Linked DNA regions of Tribolium castaneum. The protein of the gene in region 1 interacts with the protein of each later gene in a pairwise test. Links are inferred from orthologs where the notes say so. Each region holds a gene or a part of one and is shown in the gene's direction. Other genes may lie near its edges.

Region 1 (4,577 bases):
TTAATTCGTTGTTAAAAGTTATCAACGCGAATAGACCAATCAAATTGGCTCAATTTCGTCACGTGATCCGTTAATCACACATTTAATTGCGAATTAAATTAATGGCGCTTCTGTAAACCGGTTCTAAGGACCGGTTTACAGAACATTTTAATTGCAATTAAATTTAAATCGCGATTAACTTGACATTTGTCAATGCATTTTAAATGGTAACTTAATTCGAATTAGTTTAATTTTGAATTAAATTTAATTTCGTTTTCTGTAAACCGACCCTAAGGTTCTAATTAAGTTGTTTGTTGCACCCTGTGTCAAAAAGCTGTTCCCTAAACATTTCTTTTGGATAAATTGTGCTATCACTTTGTCAAAAAATGTATCGACTGTAACTTCACCCACAGCTTGCTATAGTCCGTGACAAGCTATGTTTTTCTAACCTTAATGTTTACTACTGTTTACTGAATTCTATTGCTCCTGAAGTTTGAATATTGTTATTTATTAGACTTTTGGACACACATGAAAATCTACAAACCGATAAAACACACGAAAAACCACAACACATTTAAAATCACTTAAAACCAACGATATCCCAAACAAATCGCCACATTTATAGAGAAATGTCGTCCAGGCGGTCATTTCACTTGGACCGGATTTTTAGATTTAGAATTTTTCACAATTTTCTGACTATGATTTTATGATAAAAAATTGTTTAACAGCAAAAACTAATTTACAATTTTGATTACATAAATGCTTATTTGCTCATTAGTATTTTTTAAAAAGTTATTGAGTGAAATTATCCCATGAACTAACTTAGATCGGTGAATATAGCACCATGAATATTACAGTCGACCAGACAATCGCTGCGCGCTTGGAGCTAGCACCATTCTCGTTTTCTACAGCCAAGTTCACACCAGGAAAATTATAAAAATGATCGTAAATCATTATAAAAACATCAATAAGCTGTTACGCTGACTTGCATATCACATTTGTAGAACATCTCCTCACCATTCTAATGTGTTTCTATTACAAATTAAAACTTAACTGCATTTAATTTTTGCATTTTTTATTCTCATATTCAAGCAATGCAAACTGATTTTTTTTACTCTTTTTATATCCTGCAATCATCTTTATTTTTGCACGAGATTAAGCCCTTCGATAGGGCCTTTGACTGTAAAAAAATCATGTTCGGATAAACACTCTTTGGGACCTTAAAGATTTTTTTAATTTTTATAAAATTTCTCGATTTTGCAAACTGCGTTAAAAAAATTAATATTTAAAGATTGCTCTAATTTGTCAAATTAATAATTAATTTGTCTAGCAAGAATCACGTGGAGGTTTAGAGCATTCTTGCCAGGAAAAAAGGAAATAAGGATGAGGTAAACAATAAATATTAGAAAAAGAAAGGAATAAAGGAATTATTGGTTATGAAATGAAAAAATTAAATGCAGTTAAGTTTTAATTTGTAATAGAAACACATTAGAATGGTCAGGAGATGTTCTACAAATGTGATATGCAAGTCAGCGTAACAGCTTATTGATGTTTTTATAATGATTTACGATTATTTTGATAATTTTCCTGGTGTGAACTTGGCTGTAGAAAACGAGAATGGTGGGGAAATGTTGCTAGCTCCATGCGCGCAGTTATTGTCTGGTCGACTGTAATTTTGTTCATGGTGCCAGCACCATTCTTGGTAACTTCGTAGTTACAGGAATCTGTACCGGCTAGAGGGCACTCACTTCGCCATTTGTGATTATTTATATGGTGGACCAACTTTTATCTATTTTGTGTTTTAATTGTTTAAAATAAATGTAAAATGAGTGATAGCGACGACGAGAACTTTAACAGAGACGAGGACTGTGTGGACCTCACCGGTTTCCTCTTCGGGAACATCAACGAGCAAGGGCAACTCGAAAGCGATGTTTTGGACACTGAATCCCAAAAACAACTTTCCAACCTCGGGAAGTAAGACTCATTGTAATACTGTTGTAATACGGGGCGTAAAAAACATAATTCCAGGCTGGGTTTGGGCTCAACCCTTAAAGAAATGATTGGGGTTGATAGCATCCCTAAAGACGATTCCGACAGCGATTATGATAATTCCGAGGGGCAAAAATCGAAATTTGGGGATGAAAACAAAGAAAGCAACAGTGCGGAGTCGCAAAATAATGAAGATTCTAACTGTGAGACTGTTTTTTGTCACGTAAACAAACATAACCTTACTTTGTTCCAGTCGAGTCAAAATCGCCCAGTGCTGTTGATTTTTCCGATATAAATGAACTCGCTGAGGAAGAGGAGGAGGAGGTAAGTGGTTCCGTGTTGTTTCAGTTTTTTAGTTGATAATTTTCAGGCGAAACCGGAAAATTACGATGCTGATGATGAGCACCCCAATGAAATTGATAACAAATTAATGCCGCCACCTCCAGTTCCGACAACGAAAGAAAATTCCGAATCAATTGTTACGACTGATGATGGTGATAAAAAGAAGCTCGAAACGCCTCTTGCGGCAATGCTGCCGTCCAAATACGCAAACGTTAACGTTACGGACCTTTTTCCGGATTTCCGGCACGGAAAAGTATGAAATTGTGCCCAAATTTTCACGTTCGATCGACTTTTTTAGGTGTTACGATTTTCGCGGCTTTTTGGGCCAGGAAAACCGAGCAGTTTGCCCAATATTTGGAAAAATGTGAGGAAGAAACGCAAGAGAAGGAAGCACAAAGATAGCGCGAATCAGCACGATTCTGATTCGAACTCTGAGGATGAGAAGCCGAAACATCGGGGCTGGTTTATTGATTATGCTGAGCCTCCGCCTCCTGAGCAAATTCAAAGCGATGATGAAGTAGTTTACAGTGGATTTGTTTCGTTTTGTGATGTTTTGCTTGTAGGAGAAGTTTCTGAAACCAATGGAAAATGCGACCGTTGATAGCAAAGCTGAGACCCAATCAAAGGATGACACGGGGCCTAAAGTGGCCGATTGGCGCTTTGGCCCCGCCCAGATTTGGTACGATATGTTGGAGGTCCCGGAGACAGGGGAGGGGTTTAATTATGGTTTTAAACTAAAAGAAGATCAGGTTTGTTTCAATTGATATTGCGCTCTTCAACGCATTTAAAATTTTGTCGGTTTGTATATTGTTTTTATATACAAAATCCTGTTTAGAATCCTGTTTAGAAAATTGAATTCTTTATAATACCAATAAAACTACTTATTGGGAAATGTTTTAAAACGAATAATAAAAATTTTGGACAATTGGGCATCGCTGTTCTAAATTAAAGCAACAGGGTTCTATAGAATTTATTTTGTAATGATATTTAAAACTAACTAAATTCTACAAATATTATTTTAATTAACATTCTGTAATATTTCAAAGTCACTTGTTTAATCACTTGATGACAACAAAGATTAAATAGAGGGTGTATCTTGAGTAAGTGCAAATATTTTAACCATTAATTAACTGTTGAAAATAAATTGATATTTTTTCTAAACACTATTAAACACTGCCTTGTGTGTTGTGATATCGTCTGCATCGTTTTACATTTTATTATTTTACTCGAGAACGCTACATTTTACAAGGAATTTACAAGAAACAGAAAAAAATCCTAATTGAATGGGCTTTCAATTTCTAGTAATACCAAAGCCACCCTTACCCCATATTAGGAATTCTGAGCTATTTTTCTGAATTTAGCAAAAAAAAAATATTTTTTTTACAAAGTTTTAACCTTATATCGCATTTTTAATCCAAAACCCAATACAGATTTTGCCAAAATATGTAAAAACAATACAAAATGCATTAGCGACTATGAGCTTCAAAACCACTTGCACCGAGATATTGCATCAGAAGAATTGTCATTAACTGTATTACGCTGTTTAAGCCAATTATCTGTTAAACACTTGACAACAAAGAATAAATATCAATTTTTTTTTGGATAAACGTTTAATTTCTTTAAAGACGAGCTAAAGCACCTGGAAATACCTACGCTGATTTTTAAAGATCTCATGCTTAAAAAGAGACCATGTCTCAGAAATAACAAAAATTGCCTTATTTTGACAGCTGTTTAGTTAAAAATTGTAGATTTTTGACGATTGCTAGCTTTAAAACGAGCCAAATCGCATGGCAATGCCTCAAATCGTTTTGTTTTGCCATAAAAAACACTAATTTTTTGTTCATAAAAACATGGTATTCAACGATTTCTTGCTTAAAAATTGGGCAGTTACCAGAACTCGCTTTATTTTATTTTTTTGTGTTGAAATAAATTGTTTCTTTTTATTTTCCACAAAAAATGTACAAAATCTTGTCGAAATATTTCATATTTTTGCCGAAAACTACGTTTTCATTATAATGTATCGATTTTTAATAATGCTTTTCTAAAAACGAATCAAAACATTATCTGACACTTGTTTTGTTTAAATACGGTGATTTTTAATGATAACTCGTTTAAAAACGAGCCAAATCTTCTGGAAAAAACTCATATCTGTTTATTTTACTTTTGAACATGTCGATTTTCAATAAATTTTGGTTTTTAACAGTGACTAGAATTTTTTCGTTTTTAAAGAAAGTCAGAAAACGTGCAAACTACGTTTATTAGAAAAT
Region 2 (4,374 bases), about 11 Mb from region 1:
GCAGCTGCAGGCAAGTGGGGCGAAATCCACTTGCTTAGCGCAGCCTCAAAGGAACGAGTCGCAACAATAAAGCAAAACCATGAAGTTACGGCTCTGGCCTACGGCCCCCAAGGTAATCTTCTCTATGGGCACAGTGACTGTGGCGAAGTCACTGTGTGGGACGTGAGCATGAGACGGGTCTTGCACAAGTTTATGGACGAGGGCTGTCTGCAAGGCACCACTTTGGCGGTTTCGCCCACTAATCAATTTCTGGCGGCTGGTTCTGCACAAGGAGTTGTTAATTTGTACGACGTGGGGGATATTTTAATTAATAAAGTACCTAAACCTATAAAGACCATTATGAATTTGACTACGAGCGTGACCGACTTGAAATTCAACGCTACATCGGAGATTTTGGCATTGTCGTCTGCCGAAATACCGAATTCCGTCAAATTGCTCCATGTCGGGTCTGGGACTGTTTTTAGCAACTTCCCGACGTTCGAGACCAAGTTGGGACACGTAAATGCGATCAATTTCTCGCCAAATAGTGGATATGTTGCCTTTGGGAATAGGAAATCGACCGTTTCTTTGTATACCTTGAAGCACTACAAAAGTTATTAATCAAACAACACATGTTAGATACGGTAAATGACCTGTTCCACCTGTTGTAACATTTATGCAAGCTTTATAAATTATAACAGGGCTATTGCTAAAATAATGTGTCAGTTTTAATACCGAAGAGTGGCATCTCTCCTCAAGTGGTTAATTTTGATCAATTTTTACGTTCTGTATGCTTTTTTATTTTTTACTACCGATGTCATGTTTTAGTACCTGTAAATAAAATCGTTTAAGTCCTAAGAATTTTATTGTTTTATTTGTAATATGTGAATTTTTTTTTCTTCCAACAGTTGCCGAATGAACCGCTTTGTACTCAATTGTACCTACGTTTAATTTATTGATTGCAGGCCATTATAGTTTACACCGGAATCGATTAAATAACCCCTTGCCTACACATTATCAACCACACAAGCCTCCTGAAATCAAATTGATAGGGGTACTATTACCTGCTGTTATCTAGAAGTGCTAGATTTTTATTAAAAATTTGCGTTACAGTTCTAAATACCACCTATAATTAAAAAGATTTGATGCAAAAGGAGGATAAGGGAGATGATAAAAAAAAAGTACCAAACAAAATGGAAATTATAGTAGGAGTAGAACGTGTTTATAAATCGAATACCTATTTTTTATCAATAAATCTGTTCTTAATATTAAATAGGCCATACCTATCGTATAAGAAAATATACTTATATTATTAATATAAGTTTTTTATTGGTAATTTTGTTCAAAATTTGAAAAAAACAGCGGGAATCTGACCAGAGTGTTTTGTTTTGTGATGATAAAACAGCAGTATGGTGTTGCAAGGTTGTTGTAGGTCATGAGATTTAGCAATAAACAATCTCTTAAGAAATATTGCTCAAGCAACAAAAAACAGCAAATGAGCTATGAAGTAAAGAAAGTTGCGTTGTGCCTCGTGCCAGAATTCGAGGTAAAATGAGAATTTAAGATGAGAAATGAGTGTTGTCCCCATGACGTAATACGTAAGCTGCGAGCTGCGTGGAAGGAATCGGGGCTATCAGCGGTCGTCGCAAAATGTCATCTTGTTAAATGTAAATTGGCGCAGAAACTTTCTAAAGAAATGTAAATTTGTGGATTTGGAAATGTGAAATGCAATGCGAAAATTCAAATTTGGCGGGTCGGGATGACGTGTCAGATGACTTAGCAAAACGTCGAGAGTGCGATCGACTCCGCGATGTAAACGAAACTGAAAAGCTGTGTCTGATGTCGCCGTGAAATCCGCCCCCGACGAAACCGTGCAACAACTCGGAGCAGCCGAAGATGAGGGCCATGTAAAGTGGTTAAAAGTGCGTCGATTCGGACTTTTGTTTCATATGCCTTTCTGCATTTGTGGCGTGAAGAGTCGACGGCGCAGCCGTTGGCGTGATCATGTTTATGTAGGGCGCATGCGCACATCAGTTTACAGTTGGGTCTCGGAAAATGGCGTCAGCTAAGTTTCTCGAGGAAGCACTGAGTACGGATGTGGACGAATCGGCCGTGAGTGCAATCGTGGGCTCGTTGGAGAACCAGCTGGTGACGTCGTCGACGACGGCGCCCGCGTCCGCGGCCCAGAACCACGTGAACAGTGCAATATCCAACGGCGGCACCGTCGGGCCCCCCAAGCACTCGACAGTGGCCAACGGCGACTCCATCTCGGACGCCAAGTCGGCCGACGCCGCCCCCGTCAAGATCGTCTACTCGCAGGCCATGGCGGGCGCCGGGACGCTGCTGCCCAACGCGAGGGTCGCGCTGCCGCCCAATGGGACGCTGCCCCAGGCCGCCCCCGGCAAGCAGCCCACGCTGGTCATCAAGACGTGCGGCGCCTCGGCCCCCGGACTCGTCACCGTGCCCATGAACGTGACCACCTCGGTCCCGCCAGCTAACAACGTAGGTAGTCCCAGTACACAGTCCCCAAACATCCTTTCCAACCTCCAGGTTGTCAATGTACGGCCTGGCGTTCCCGCTCAGCAGCAGAAAGGACAACCGGCACGTGTCGTGCTCAGTGCACCACAGATTGTCGGGGCCCGGCCAGGAGCTCCAGTAAGTCGGTGTACACTCAAAACAACAGTCGAATGGGAGGGTCTGCTAACTCCCAGTCTTAAGATGCTTGCTAACACCTATAACCCCTTATCGACATCTACTGAGCGTACATTAAAAAAAAAACAAAAAATTAAACAAATTTTCATTCTAGGACAAATTATGTTTTCAAGCCAGTACTTGGTGTACTGTTTATTATCATGTGACCATCAAAACAAACAACGTCCAACAAGTTTACAAACTATCTACCATAATAATTTCGTTGTGTTGTAGGTAGACAACTTAAGACACACTCAAAACAGTACAGTATTGGATTCTTGAAAATAAAGCCCAGTTTCCCCCAGGAAACCAACGTAAGGGCCCCGAATTAATGACACTGTTTTTTAAAATTTTACTTAGCAATGAATACAATTTAAGGAATTGTTAAAAAAATGACTTTAGATTTAAAAAAAAAATTAAATACGTTCCTGCAAAATTGTAACTTGCTCTTACTTAACTCAAGACTCTTTTAAGCGATGTAGATTTGACAGCTACAGCAAAGTAAGAAATTCTTTCGTACTTTCACCCTGTGTAGTCATAAAGACATGCTGTTTCAATAGGTAATAAAAAGTATTTAATGTTGGCTAAACTTTTACACATTTCTTCTCAGTTATAGTGACATTACCATTAATGGCGAATTTAGCGTCTTTCATACAGTAAACATAGATTTTTTTGTACAAAATTATTCAAAAATTATGCACTCCCAATTGAAATTTTGAACAAAACTAATGTAAAAATGAGACAAAATGATGACCTTGTTAAAACTGAAATTATTTGTTGCAATTTAGATTTTAACAGAGGATTCATTCCAGTGACCCTCATGTACCAATATTTTGTTTGATAACAATTAGAAGACTTTTTTTCTTAGAAACACTATTTTGTACACGCAAGTGAATTTTTAACTCCAGAATTGTAAACGGATAGTAATTATCAAACATCCTAAAATAAAATATAAGATGCAATAATAAGAGTTGGAGTAATTATTGAAAAGTGGAACGATTATAAAATTAGAAAATTTCATAATAATTATCTCTCCACAGGGACATAAACAGCATCACACATATAGGGAAAGGTGTTGATATCCCTACTTTGTGATTAAATACACGTTATGTTATGTAATTTTCATGCTCGTGTAATTTTTTTTTATTTAATTCTTATTTTTTTTAAAATGTTATAAAAAACGATGGCAGCGTGTTTAATGCAAATTGCTATCTATGCGAAAGAAAGTGACGTTGAATTAATGAGTGAATGGTTACTGATTTGTTTATTAAAAATGTTTTATTTCATTCATAAGGAACGAATTATTTTGAAAATAATTCGTTCCTTATTTGGAAATAAAAGTCGCAGAATCAGGATGTCATGTCAGTATTGGGATTAATTTTCATCCAAGCTAGGACTAACGCTTTCGGACCCCACAAACCCCCCCATTCTACTGCAAAATTTCATGTTTGAGGCTATTTCCATTGTACAGCTTCACAAAACAACAACCAACCACCTTACACAGATTGTTCACTCGAAACACGTACACGAAGCTGTACAACGAAAATGCCGAATCTCTTCTAGTTTTGTTGAGTAAATTTTATAGTTTATTTGAAGAATTGTTTTGTTTGATAACTGGTGTACACATTTGCTGGTCGTACTGTAAAATAAAAATACAACTAACTGTGGAACTCTTACTAACAAATTTCTCGTTTGTTACTAACG
Region 3 (4,465 bases), on another chromosome or scaffold:
TAACTATGAAAAATGAGATTTTCAAGAAAGACATAACAGTAGAAAAGTTGGAAAACTGTACCGTTAAATTGTTCGGTTCGCCGTCCACTCTCCACCTCAACCAGTTGAAAAATTGCCGCGTTTTCACAGGCCCCGTTTCAACCTCAATTTTTGCAGAAAACTGCACAAATTGCACTCTTGTGATAGCGTGTCAACAGTTAAGATTGCATTCTTCGAGTGATGTCGATATTTATTTGCATGTAACAAGTAGAGCAATTATGGAAGATTGTCACGATATATTTCTAGCACCGTATAACTGGGACTATGATAATCTCGAGTCTGATTTTAAAAATTCAGGGTTGGATCGAAACACAAATAATTGGAAATGTGTTGATGATTTCAACTGGTTGAATGTTGAAAGACAATCTCCAAATTGGTCGTTGTTAGATGAAGGGAAACTTGTAAAAAATTGGGATAATTCATAACGTAGTAATAAAAATTCGTAGTTTATTATGTTTTTGGAGCCCCGTAAGCATCAGGCATGCGTTCAATTGTATACCTATGTTGTGCAACATACATGATGGGAACACCCGGAATTTTCCGAATTCTGCGTTTCAAATCCTTATCATTCGTCGCAACAATGTAACACTTGTGTTGGGTGACCCTCTGGACTAGGCAATCATCAGCGTACGTCCCTTTATGCATGCACTTAATCCTCTCAAACCTCGGATCCTTTATTATCCTCAACGCCACTTTATACTTCTGACCTAATTTCTCTAATTCGCCCAAAACACAATCCGTAATATACGGAATACACTTAGCATACAAGCAGTCCATCATATTCTGAATAATATCCAACTTGTTCTTGATCGAAAAATTAATAAAGTTCGTATCAACCAAAATGTGATATGGAGGCCCCAGTTGGGTGTTGTATTGGAAAAAGAGCGCCGAACTAACTTGGGGCACCTCACGCACTTTCATTTCGTGTGGATCTTCGGGTTTTTTCTTGCGAGGAGGGGCCCTCTGGCTGGCTTTTATGCGAGGGTCGCTGGGACTGATCATTGTTTTCATTTTTGCAAACCGCTTCTGGGCGATTTTTCGCGTCTTCTTCGCCTTACCCTAAAAAACATTTCTATACGCTGTGCAAACACCAAAGCGAACTTTTTACCATCTTTTATTTTAAAATAAACACATGTAGAAAAAGTCAGGTTAAATATGCGTTGCCAACATTACAACACTAAATAAACAATCAGGGAGAGGTGAATAAATTAAATCCAAAATAATTGTTTGTGTGAAAAAACTGTTCCACTGACTCGAAATTTTTAAAAGGCGACATTGTGAGCGTGAGCCGTGAGTGTTATTTTTAAATTTATGATGCGAATTTGAGTGAGGTTAAGGCGGGCGTTGCCAACATTCTGGTTGATTTGTCCCCAAAAATTATGCTAGGAGAATAATTTATTAATTTGCTTCCAAATCCGTTTTTCCAGTGAAAAACAGTATTTTCGTGACGAAAACTCTGAAAGAGAACAATCAAGGAATGTTATTTTGTGTTTGTATGGTCTGAGTTCAAGTTTTTAAAAATTATAACCGTTTATGCTAAATGTTGACTATGATTTTATTGTTCAGTTAATTAGTTCGTTAATTAAAAAAGTGTAAAGACAACAAGTACCAAAATGGATCAAATGTTGCCAAGCCCCGGTTTCAGCATTCCTAGCATAGGTAAGTCTCGATTTTTCCTTCACACTTCCTTAGTGAGGCTTTAGGAACCCCCTTGCACCAGCCCGAGGAAGATCAGATGATTTTGCCCAATGCTCTGCAGCAACAACAGCAGCAGCAACCTTCCACAACATCACAGTCCCAACAAGTCCCGCCTTTGGCCCCAATGGGAGCCCTAACACCAACTCTGGGGTTGGGCATGGGCATGTCCATGCCCCATACGAAATATGCGGGCTTCGCCCTCCCCATCACGAGTATCCAGTCACAAACACCAGTACGTAACTAAATTATTGAATAATTGGAACGTTTAATTAAAATTTTAGCAACACACTATGATGTCCCCTATGGTGAATTTGGGGGGCTCAAGTGGTGCAGCGAACACCCCGTCGATGGGCCCCGCGACGCCGTCGCCCCTGACACCGATGACCCCGCATTCGGCCGACCCCAACATTGTCCCCCAATTACAGTAACAGTCCAAACTTTAGTAAAATTAGTTTGAATATTTTTTGCAGAAATATTGTCTCCACAGTTAACCTCAGCTGCAAGTTAGACTTGAAAAAAATCGCCCTTCACGCACGTAACGCTGAGTACAACCCCAAACGTTTCGCTGCAGTTATAATGAGAATCAGGGAGCCCCGAACTACTGCTCTTATTTTCTCTTCGGGAAAAATGGTCTGCACGGGGGCTAAAAGCGAGGACGACTCCAGACTAGCAGCGAGGAAATATGCGAGAATTATCCAAAAGCTGGGCTTCCCCGCGAAATTTTTAGACTTCAAGATTCAAAATATGGTGGGAAGTTGCGACGTTAAATTTCCGATCAGATTGGAAGGACTTGTCCTCACGCACAGTTCCTTCAGTTCGTATGAACCCGAGTTATTCCCCGGTTTAATTTACAGAATGGTTAAGCCCAGAATTGTACTACTTATTTTTGTCTCGGGTAAAGTTGTCTTGACTGGCGCCAAAATCAGGCAGGAGATTTACGAAGCCTTTGATAATATTTATCCAATCCTGAAAAGCTTCAAAAAGCAATAATTGCTTCATGTGCTACGTTTAATTGTTGACTGTAAGTGGGCCTTTTATATTGTTAATAGACGAGAATCAAAAATTGCTTTTATTTTTCCTTTTGACAAGTCCAATCTAACCTCAAAATTAGTTTTTTTACATTATTAATACATTATGCTGCACTAGAATACAATCAATCGAAAGGGAATGGAAAATTCCGCTCAGTACTTAAGTTCAAAACTGATAAGTAAATAATTAATTAAAGTTGATTATGGTTTACGAAAATTCAAATTTTTGCCACATAACCTCAAATTTTTTGCCAAAAAGAAAAAACTCGCTCGTTTTTGTCTTAAATGAAGAACAATAAACTCTAAAAAAGTGGAAGAATATCAGAAGACGGTACAAATTCCACGCCTTGTAAATACTGGAACTGATAAAAAGCGATGTCAAATTCCAACATGTTCAAGTAATTATTTTAATCTCTACAGTTCGGCGTAAAATAACAACAATGCCCATTTTACCAGGTGAGGCCACACGCCAATAATTGCGTTACTAATCGTAATTTTATCAGATAAAGTGCGAAATTTGGTGAAGAATGTTAGAAGTATGTTCCTAAAATGGTCAGTGCAAAGACCGATTTTGTCCATGTCTTTGGTGGTGATTTTGGCCGTTATCCTGCTCCCCGTGGTCACAGCAGCCACCCTAATGCCCGTTGCGCTATTGCTCACTTACACGGGAATTTTGGCGTCACAGGGAATTTTTTACATAACTTACAACATATTTATCCAAGGAATGCTACTAGCTATGGTAATTGTAGCCTTATTCGTTGTTGGTTTTACAATTGCAACAAGCGCGAGTGTTTTCCATTCATATACAATATTTAAAACGGTTACCATAAAGAAAAAGCAATAAATTTAAGTTTTTATTCGTTTTTATGTGCCATTTTTTCCATTAATGCCCATAATTTTCGTACTACTTGTTCCTCGCCTATTTCACCATAATTGAAGACTTCATAGTTTGGAGGGTTCGTCCGTACCATATCTGTTAGTTTATAAGGAATAAAGTTGTTAAAATGAACGGCTTGGTTTTTTTTTTAGAAAGGATACAGCCTGTGTTAGGTCTTGTATAATCAAATTGTGTTGCAGTTAATAACTTATACAAATATAAGGAGAGCCTGAAATAAATTCATTAGAGACCAACGTAAGAGTCATTTAAATTTCATACTTTAGGCTCTTAAGATTTTGCAGCTTATGATTATAAGTTTCGCACCGTTTTGTTGTTTCCCGGAGTTTATTTTTCTTTGCACCAAATTCGGTAGTTAAATTTGAAAGTTCCTCTTCCAGTTTATTCTATTTTTTTTACAAAGTTATCGTACAAGTAAAATTATTTTTTATACTTACGATTTCAGACTTTTCTTTTTCCAAAAGTTGAGCATTGTTATCCACGATTTCAAAGGCCCTTTCTACTTTACAATCAATCAAAGATTTAACGTTTGCACATATATTAAACAAATACCCTTCTAAAAAGACATAACAGAGTACAAAAATAGATTTAAAAAGATTGCACGTACCTTCTTCCACATGAGGTGTTAACTCATCGAGTGGGTGCAAAGATTCGGTAAAGCGATCGAGTTGTTCACTGCAAGATTGACTAATGGCTTTTATTATCGCCTCAAATTCTACAAGCTCCATTTTTTTGATTAAAACTAATATCAATTAATATTTTTGTAATGACAAGTCAGTCATAATAAAAGTTAAAACCAGTATTT

What was found.
Region 2: the proteins of Taf1 (region 1) and Taf4 interact in binary tests that used the Drosophila melanogaster proteins (3 or more experiments, as listed by UniProt). The link is inferred for Tribolium castaneum from reciprocal best matches to the Drosophila melanogaster genes Taf1 and Taf4.
Region 3: the proteins of Taf1 (region 1) and Tbp interact in binary tests that used the Drosophila melanogaster proteins (3 or more experiments, as listed by UniProt). The link is inferred for Tribolium castaneum from reciprocal best matches to the Drosophila melanogaster genes Taf1 and Tbp.

The regions. Positions count from the first base shown.
Region 1 is NC_087394.1:24,745,314-24,749,890, reverse strand, and holds the start of Taf1 (transcription initiation factor TFIID subunit 1), read left to right. Parts: upstream 1-1,702; 5' UTR 1,703-1,804; coding exon 1,805-1,953; intron 1,954-2,007; coding exon 2,008-2,171; intron 2,172-2,221; coding exon 2,222-2,292; intron 2,293-2,338; coding exon 2,339-2,563; intron 2,564-2,608; coding exon 2,609-2,827; intron 2,828-2,873; coding exon 2,874-3,059; intron 3,060-4,577. UniProt on the Drosophila melanogaster protein: TFIID is a multimeric protein complex that plays a central role in mediating promoter responses to various activators and repressors. Largest component and core scaffold of the complex.
Region 2 is NC_087394.1:35,639,651-35,644,024, reverse strand, and holds the start of Taf4 (transcription initiation factor TFIID subunit 4), read left to right. Parts: upstream 1-1,383; 5' UTR 1,384-2,034; coding exon 2,035-2,634; intron 2,635-4,374. Other genes in the region: wcd (U3 small nucleolar RNA-associated protein 18 homolog), read left to right, coding at 1-600. UniProt on the Drosophila melanogaster protein: TFIID is a multimeric protein complex that plays a central role in mediating promoter responses to various activators and repressors.
Region 3 is NC_087402.1:9,986,574-9,991,038, forward strand, and holds Tbp (uncharacterized protein Tbp), read left to right. Parts: upstream 1-1,560; 5' UTR 1,561-1,652; coding exon 1,653-1,698; intron 1,699-1,742; coding exon 1,743-1,969; intron 1,970-2,018; coding exon 2,019-2,161; intron 2,162-2,207; coding exon 2,208-2,727; 3' UTR 2,728-3,221; intron 3,222-3,268; 3' UTR 3,269-3,774; downstream 3,775-4,465. Other genes in the region: Tbcc (tubulin-specific chaperone C), read left to right, coding at 1-464; Bka (rRNA-processing protein FCF1 homolog), read right to left, coding at 490-1,098, 1,148-1,150. UniProt on the Drosophila melanogaster protein: General transcription factor that functions at the core of the DNA-binding multiprotein factor TFIID.